Linked DNA regions of Macaca fascicularis. The protein of the gene in region 2 purifies or fractionates together with the protein of the main gene of each other region. This does not show direct contact. Links are inferred from orthologs where the notes say so. Each region holds a gene or a part of one and is shown on either strand. Other genes may lie near its edges. The genes, in order: ANAPC1 and L3MBTL1.

Region 1 (2,669 bases), on a different chromosome or scaffold from region 2:
ACCAGGACCTGTGTGACCTGCAAGGCACCTGTTTTCCTCAACAAAGCCTCTTTTACACCACTTGCTCCTCACACCACGCTGGCCTCTTCTACTTCCTCAAAAACACTGAGCTCCTTTTCACTGTGGGGCCATTGAATATGCTGTTTTCCCTCCCTAGAAGCTTTTCCTCTCATTCTTCACCTGTCCAACTCATATTTATCCTTGCAGCCTCAGTTTTAATGACCTTGCCTCCAGGCCCTCCAAGACCACTCTACCTCAGGCAGCTTTCCTGCCATCTATTGCCTGCCCGCTCATGCTCTCAACTTTTTTTCTGCATCTAAATGCCTTTGTTTGCAAGTAACAGAAGACCTGACGTAAGCTGTCTTTAAACAGTGAGGACACAAATATGCTTATGTCATTAGAAGTCCACAGGTAGGGCATGTAAAGGGTCATCTTATTCCATTGTCTTCAACTCCGTTTCTCTGAGGTTCCATCAGCTACATTCTGTGCCATGACTTTATCCTCAGTGCTTTTTTTGGATGGTAATAAAATGGCTATAACATGTTCACCTCTAGCTCAGCATGATGCCCAGAGGAAGAAGAAGAGTTGCTTCTAGGAGCTTTGTGATGAGAATGAGGGGATTTCTTTCCCTGGAGCCTCCAGCAAGCATGTCATTAAGTACCTCCTCAGGTTTCTGGCTCTGAGTTGCATCTCATGCACACCCTCAATCTATCCCTGTGGCAGAGACTGTCTCTTATTGAAAAAATGGCCTGGGTCTGCCTGTCTCTGAACTAACACTGTATCAGGGGAATGGGATTGCCTTGATCACCCAAGACCGGTGATTCTCAAAGTGTGGTTCGTGGAGCAGCATGACCTGGGAACTTGTTAGAAATGGAGTTTTTCTGGCCCTACCGCAGACCTACTGAATCAGAAACTCTGTGCTCTGTGCTCTGTGTGGGGAGTGGGGCCCACTCATCTGTGATTTAACAAGCCCTCCAGGGGATTGTGATACATGGGAAAGCTTGAGAACCGCTGGCCAAGACTAATAAGGATCTAGTTCTGGAGCTGAAGTCTGTCCCATCAAATATTCTAATACATGGTGGAGGGTGGGGTGTGAAGGGGTATTTTGGGGAGACAACCACAGTGACCACTGCACCTTTATAGCACTCTCACAGTTCATAATTATGCATTTGTTTGTGTCATTATTTGTGTAATATCTGTCTTCCCCAACAACACTCTAAACTCTACAATGACAGGGACTCAGTCTAGCTTGTCACCGTAGCCTCAGTACTCAGTACCAGCTGTAGAACCTGCTTATAAATTCTTGATGAAAAAGTAATAGAAAGAAGATATTTCTTGTGCCTCTCAGTTCTGTCATCAGTTGGTTCAGTTCCATTTGTTTCTCTCGCAGCCGGGGGTGATATGTGTGTGCACGCCTACCTCAGCGGGCAGCCCTTGGAGGAATCGCAGCTGAGCATGCTGGCCTGCTTCCTCGTCTACCACTCTGTGCCAGCTCCACGGCACCTGCCGCCTATAGGACTAGAAGGTAATCGCATATCTGAGTCCTCTCTTCGGTACCTCTGTTACCTACCCCTTTATGTTCTAGTTTCTTGGTAGGAAGAGTTTCTAATTAGTTATTGTCCCTAGTTTGACTTTCCTCTTCATTAATGTTGCAGTGTCATTGCTAGGAACTGTTTTGGAGCAAAAAAGAAAAAAATTATCAACTTTTTACATGAATAACTTTCATTTTTATTCAGAAAAGGATGGATTCTTCTTCACAGAGCCCCAAACACTGGTCTAAAAATTTTTTTTAGTATATACTAAAATATATACAAAAAAAATTTTTTTTGAGAAAGGCAGAGATTGTTCCATTTAATCATTTAAACTTGAAGTTTAATTACATTACTAGTTTTTTTGCTGTTTTGAAAGCCTCTGATAAAAGTTTACTATCTAGGGACTTCTAGTTATGGCCATGATGGAATTGCTTGTATTGGACTCACTTGCCCTCCAAAACAAGTATAAAAGCTAAAAAACCAAAAACCAAAAAACAAAAAACAAAAACATAAGAAAAGGGAAGTACAACAGGGAGAGCTTTCTGTTCACTCTAGCTTCTCCCCCAAAGGCATTTGCCAGTTCATAGCACAAGAAGTAGAGTCCCAGCAAAAGGCAGCAGTGCTGCAGGGCTGAGGAGCCAGAGGCTGGGTTTGTGATTGTCCAAGAGCCTAGAACTTGAGGAACAAAATCGCAGGCAGGAGAGAACAATAGGAATCATAACTCAAAATCTGGATGTACCTTTCCCTTGAGTTACTTACGACATTTTAGCCTTCATATATATGGGGTAAGACTTCAAGAGATCTAGCAGAAGCCACAAGGCCAAAAATGTAAGCAAAAGTGTCTGCAGCAGCATAGGACCGAGGAGACAAAGGGTGGAATTCAAGACTTGTTGAAGTGAAGTGGCTCTGATCAGCATCCCAGCTCCTCAGGTGAATTAATAGCTTGGCCAGGCCCTAAGCCTGCTCTAGCCTATGTTTAGACCTGGTGTGCTTCAGTTTCCCTCCAAGCGGACTAGACCTACAATTAGCCTTGAGCAGAACTGAGGTGATCTGCATGCTTTGTCCCCACCTAGCAGAAGAAAACGTAACCTTCATAGGAGAAAGAAAACATACCCAGAGCCTCTGCAATTTCTGGTC
Region 2 (4,611 bases):
CGACTCCTCCTCTGATAGGCTCTGGTATTCCCTGCGCTTCCTCTTCTTCACGGGTTTGAGGAGCTCAGAAGCGCTGGTGGAGCCTGAGGAGTTCTCCACTATGACTGACCTGAGGAAGGGCCAGCCTTAGAGAAAGAACCACCCGCCCTGCACCACCCAGCCCCTCTCCTAACCCCTGAACAGGAATGAGGCTTTGGGGGCTGAAGGCAGAGCGAGTAGGGCTGCGACCTCCTCCCCTTACCGCTCCTGGAACAGCTGAGGGCAGCCATCATTAGAGGAACCAAGATCTGGACCCGCGGCTTTGTGAGGCCCGCACGCCTGGCACTGACAGGTGCTATCATCCTCTGGGGGGTCCTGATTGGGATCTTCTGGAGGATTCTGGGGGTGGTCCTCTGCGGGGGCCAAATGGGCCTCAGGCCTCCCGCCCCATTGCAGCCACACTCAGGCTCCGCCCACGCCCCCACAGACCCTGCCTCCGCCTCAGTCCATCTCCGCATCGGATGGCCTCCTCCAGCCTTCTCCACCCCAGGACCACCCTGGGCCCCGCCCCCGGTCCTCCTGGGGCTCAGGCCTCACCCCACCCGCACAGGGCCCAGCTCAGGGCCTGGGGAGCGGGGCTCCTACCCGCTTGTAGGGGGCCCGCCTCGCCATCTCCAGCAGGGGCCCCGCCATCTTCGTATTCGGTCACGCCTTCCTGCCGCAGCTCGGGGCTCGGGGGCTGCTCCACTCCCGCCATGTTCAGCGGCTTGTACTCGCTTATCCGGAACTGGAGCGCGGGAGGGTCTGAGGATTGCGACTCCCGTACGGGCCCTTGACCCACCTCGGCGTCGGGGCCATGGCCCTCTCGTCGCCTCATGCCAGCTCACGCCCTCAGCAGGCCTCAAGACTCCATGCCAGGGCACCTCACTCCAAGCTATACCAGCCAAACCCTCACTCCAGGCTACGCCCCCAAGCACCTGCAGGGTCCAGTCCCCCGGTGCCCCACTCTAAGCCACGCCCCCAAACTACCACAGGCCCAGTCAGAGTGCCCCACTCTAAGCCACACCCCCAGACACCCACAGGCCCAGTCCCAGAGTGCCTCACTCCAAGCGACGCCCCCATAGTCCCCAGGGCCTAGGAGTGCTTCAACTCAAGCCACGCCCCTAGAGTCCCTCACTCAAAGCCCACCCCTAGTGCCCATCATTTTAGCCAGCTTCCCCCGCTTCCGCCTCAGGTCCGGCCTCCGGGCCCGCAAGCCCCGCCCCATGGCTGTGGTTTACGAGGTTTAGCCAATCCCCACAGACACTGACCCGCAGGCCGCCCCCAGGGGGCGGGGCCGCGGCCTCTGTCCATTCCAGAATCCGCACTGTGCTGGTGCTGGAGCTGGCCGGCCCGGCACTAAGCTGCGGCAGGACAGTGGCAGGAACCGGTTCGCTGCCGGCCACTTGCTCCGGGGTACCCACATGGATTGGCTCCCGGGGAAAGCAAGACACATCCAGGGCACTGCTGGGCAGGCCGAGGTTGGCCGAGCTGGCTGTAAACAGATACACAAATAGACACGACACGGGTGAGTCTAGTGGCCCTGCCTCAATCCTGCCACGCATGTGTAGGCATGTGAAGGAAGACAGGTGGAGGAGAGTGAAAACAGTCATCCCCTCTCCAGGATCCACACTTGCTTGTGCAAGTACAGAGATGCTCTTCCTCCCCAGACTCCTACCCTAGCTTGACTCACCTGGAATGATAAAGGCAGTTGCGGGCAGGTGAGGACCAGAACCGGGGCTGTCTCTGGCCACCAAGTGCACGCTGACCTCCCCTGTGGAAGGCCCCTTCAGTGTCCTCAGCATCTCCATTTCAGCATGCCCCTCCATCCTGGCAGGCCTACAAGCCAAACACAGCCCCCAGGGTGATCAGGTGGGGACCTCTGTTACAGAAGCAATGGAGATGTGAAGGGATGGGGCTTCTTTGAGAAGCTGGCCACCTTCAAACCCGTAACCTGCAGAGAAAGGCCTCAGTCCTGTGGGGAGTAGGGTGTCTTCAAGACCAGCATCAGGTCTGGCTCCTGTTCTGGCCAGGCCCTGCACCTCCCCAGTCTCTGTAAGGATGGTAAGGATGGGTAGGGTGGCATGTGTGAGGGTACTTTGTAAACTGTGATGTACAGCACTGACTCTGGGGAGCATGACTCGGGTCAAGGTTCTGTCTGGCCAGTTGTCTCCAGGACACAGCCCAGGCCACATCCAAACTCACCTTTTCCTTGACCCCACCTCTATCCCCACTAGAATCACTCCCTCCTCCCTCTGGGGATTCAGAGACCTCAAATACCAGGTATTCCTTCACCCACACAGGGATCATCTTCCTGGGAGGTGGGATCTTTCCTGATCATGTTCTTTTATGGCCCTGTCCACCACTCCCTCCAACCCCAAGCACAGGGTGGGCACTCAGATATCTGCTGAACACATGTACGCATCTGAAGAGCAAAGACGTAGTGTACGAAAATGCAGTCAAGTCAGTACGTGATTTTGTTTTAATAATGCAAAGGCAGTAGAGGCATTTCATAGAGTTCATTCAACAGGTAAAAACATAAAGAAAAAGACCTAGAGATACAAAGAATATACTTAATATCTATTTACTCAGCACCTAAAATATACTCACCACTGCCCTACTTGCCTTACCAGCACTGTCCAGTAGAATTTTCTGTGATCATGAGACTGTCCAATACCTAAACTGTCCAACACAGTAGCCACTAGCCACATGTGGCTACTGAGCACTTGAAATGGGCTACTATGACTGAGGAACTGAATTTTTTATTTTATTTTATTTTAGTGAAATTTAAAAGTTACCAGAAGGTAGTTACAGTGGTGCATGCCTGTAGTCCCAAGTTCTCTGGAGGCTGACCCAGGAGGATGGCTGAAGCCCAGGAGTCTGAGGCTAGCTTGGGCAACATAGCGAGACCCTGTCTCTGAGAATAAATAAGAAAATAAATAGCGACAGTAGCCATGACTACTGTATTGGACAGCACAGCTTGGCCTGTCAGTGCTACCTCCAAAACACACTGAAGGTCTAACCACTTCTCTCCATCTCGACTGCTGCCATGCTGGTCCCAGCCAATAGCAGCTCTCTTTGGACTTCTGAAATTGCCTTCTAGCCCATTTCCCTGCTTCCTTTCCTGCACCCCTACAGTCTACTCCCCAGTAAGAAAAACTTTAAAAACATAAACCAAATCACATAATTTCCCTATCTAAATTCTTCAATGGCTCTCTGTTGCCCTTAGAGTAAAATCAAAGTGCTTTGCCCTAGAAAATCTGACCTCTGCTTTTCCCTCTGGCCTCATCCTATGCCATTCTTCCCCTGTTCTCTCCAGTCAACAGACTCTGGTTTCCTTCTATTGCTTGACCAACATTCCCACTCACAGCCTTTGCCCTTGCTGTTCCCTACCCCTGGAACGCCCTTCCCCAAGCTCTCTGCTTAACTGGCTCCTTCCCATCCTCCAGTCCTCAATTCAATAGTCACCTCCTCAGAAGAGGTCTTTCCTTACCAAGTAATTTTTTTTTTTTTTTGAGATGGAGTCTCGCTCTGTTGCCCAGGCTGGAGTGCAGTGGTACCATCTCGGCTCACTGCAACCTCTGCCTCCAGGGTTCAAGCAATTCTCCTACCTCAGCCTCCTGACTAGGTGGGATTACAGGTACACACCACATAGCCTGGCTAATTTTTGTATTTTTAGTAGAGACGGGGTTTCACCATGTTGGCCAGGTTGGTCTGAAACTCCTGACCTCAGGTGATCTGCCCACCTCGGTCTCCCAAAGTGCTGGGTTTATAGGCGTGAGCCATCGAGCCCGGCCTGACCAAGGAATTTAAAGCAGCAGCATACCCCTCACCCCTTCCCACCACTAGCTGTCTCATTACTATTATATATTTCTTTCTTTCTCATCCTTCATTATAATCAAAAGTGATCTTCATTTATTTCTGTGTTTGATCAGTCATCTCCACATAAATGCTGACTGTCTGTCTTGTTCATTGCTATATCCCCAACACTTCGTACGTGGCACATAGTAGGTGCTTAATAAGTACTTGTGTTGGATTTCAGTAACTTGAACTTGTTAATAAAAAACAGTGTATGGGGCCAGCTTGGTGGCATGTGCCTGTAATCCCAGCTACTGGGGAGGCTGGGGCAGGAGAATCGCTTGAACCTGGGAGGTGGAGGGTGGAGGTTGCAGTGAGCCGAGATCATGCCACTGTACTCCAGCCTGGGAGACAGAGCAAGACTCCATCTCAAAAAACAAAAGCAAACAAAACACTGTATGGGTCCAATGCAGTGGCTCACACCTGTAATCCCAGCACTTTGGAGGCTGAGGTGGGAGGACTGCTTGAGCCCAAGAGCTCAAGACCAGCCTAGGCAACACAGGGAGACCCTGTCTCTATAAAAAATTAAAAAAATAAAAATTAGCCAGGTGTTGTAGTATATGCCTGTAGTCCCAGCTACTCCAGAGGCTGAGCAGGAGGATTACTTGAGCCTGGGAGGTCAAGGCTGCAGTGAGCCATGATCTCACCACTGTACTCTGGTCTAGGTGACAGAGCGAGACCCTGTCTCTAAAGAAAAAAAAAAAATTAGCTGGGTGCAGGGGCTCACACCTGTAA

Evidence for each region.
Region 1: the proteins of L3MBTL1 (region 2) and ANAPC1 purify together in Homo sapiens (affinity purification with mass spectrometry; 4 studies listed by BioGRID and IntAct, counting the BioPlex papers as one, with this or other methods). This does not show direct contact. The link is inferred for Macaca fascicularis from reciprocal best matches to the Homo sapiens genes L3MBTL1 and ANAPC1.

The regions. Positions count from the first base shown.
Region 1 is NC_088387.1:18,810,243-18,812,911, reverse strand, and holds part of ANAPC1 (anaphase-promoting complex subunit 1), read left to right. Parts: intron 1-1,390; coding exon 1,391-1,525; intron 1,526-2,669. UniProt on the Homo sapiens protein: Component of the anaphase promoting complex/cyclosome (APC/C), a cell cycle-regulated E3 ubiquitin ligase that controls progression through mitosis and the G1 phase of the cell cycle.
Region 2 is NC_088384.1:99,589,552-99,594,162, reverse strand, and holds the start of L3MBTL1 (lethal(3)malignant brain tumor-like protein 1), read right to left. Parts: upstream 3,042-4,611; 5' UTR 2,975-3,041; coding exon 2,817-2,974; intron 1,858-2,816; coding exon 1,712-1,857; intron 1,514-1,711; coding exon 1,290-1,513; intron 989-1,289; exon of another isoform or gene 767-988; coding exon 625-766; intron 393-624; coding exon 242-392; intron 110-241; coding exon 1-109. UniProt on the Homo sapiens protein: Polycomb group (PcG) protein that specifically recognizes and binds mono- and dimethyllysine residues on target proteins, thereby acting as a 'reader' of a network of post-translational modifications.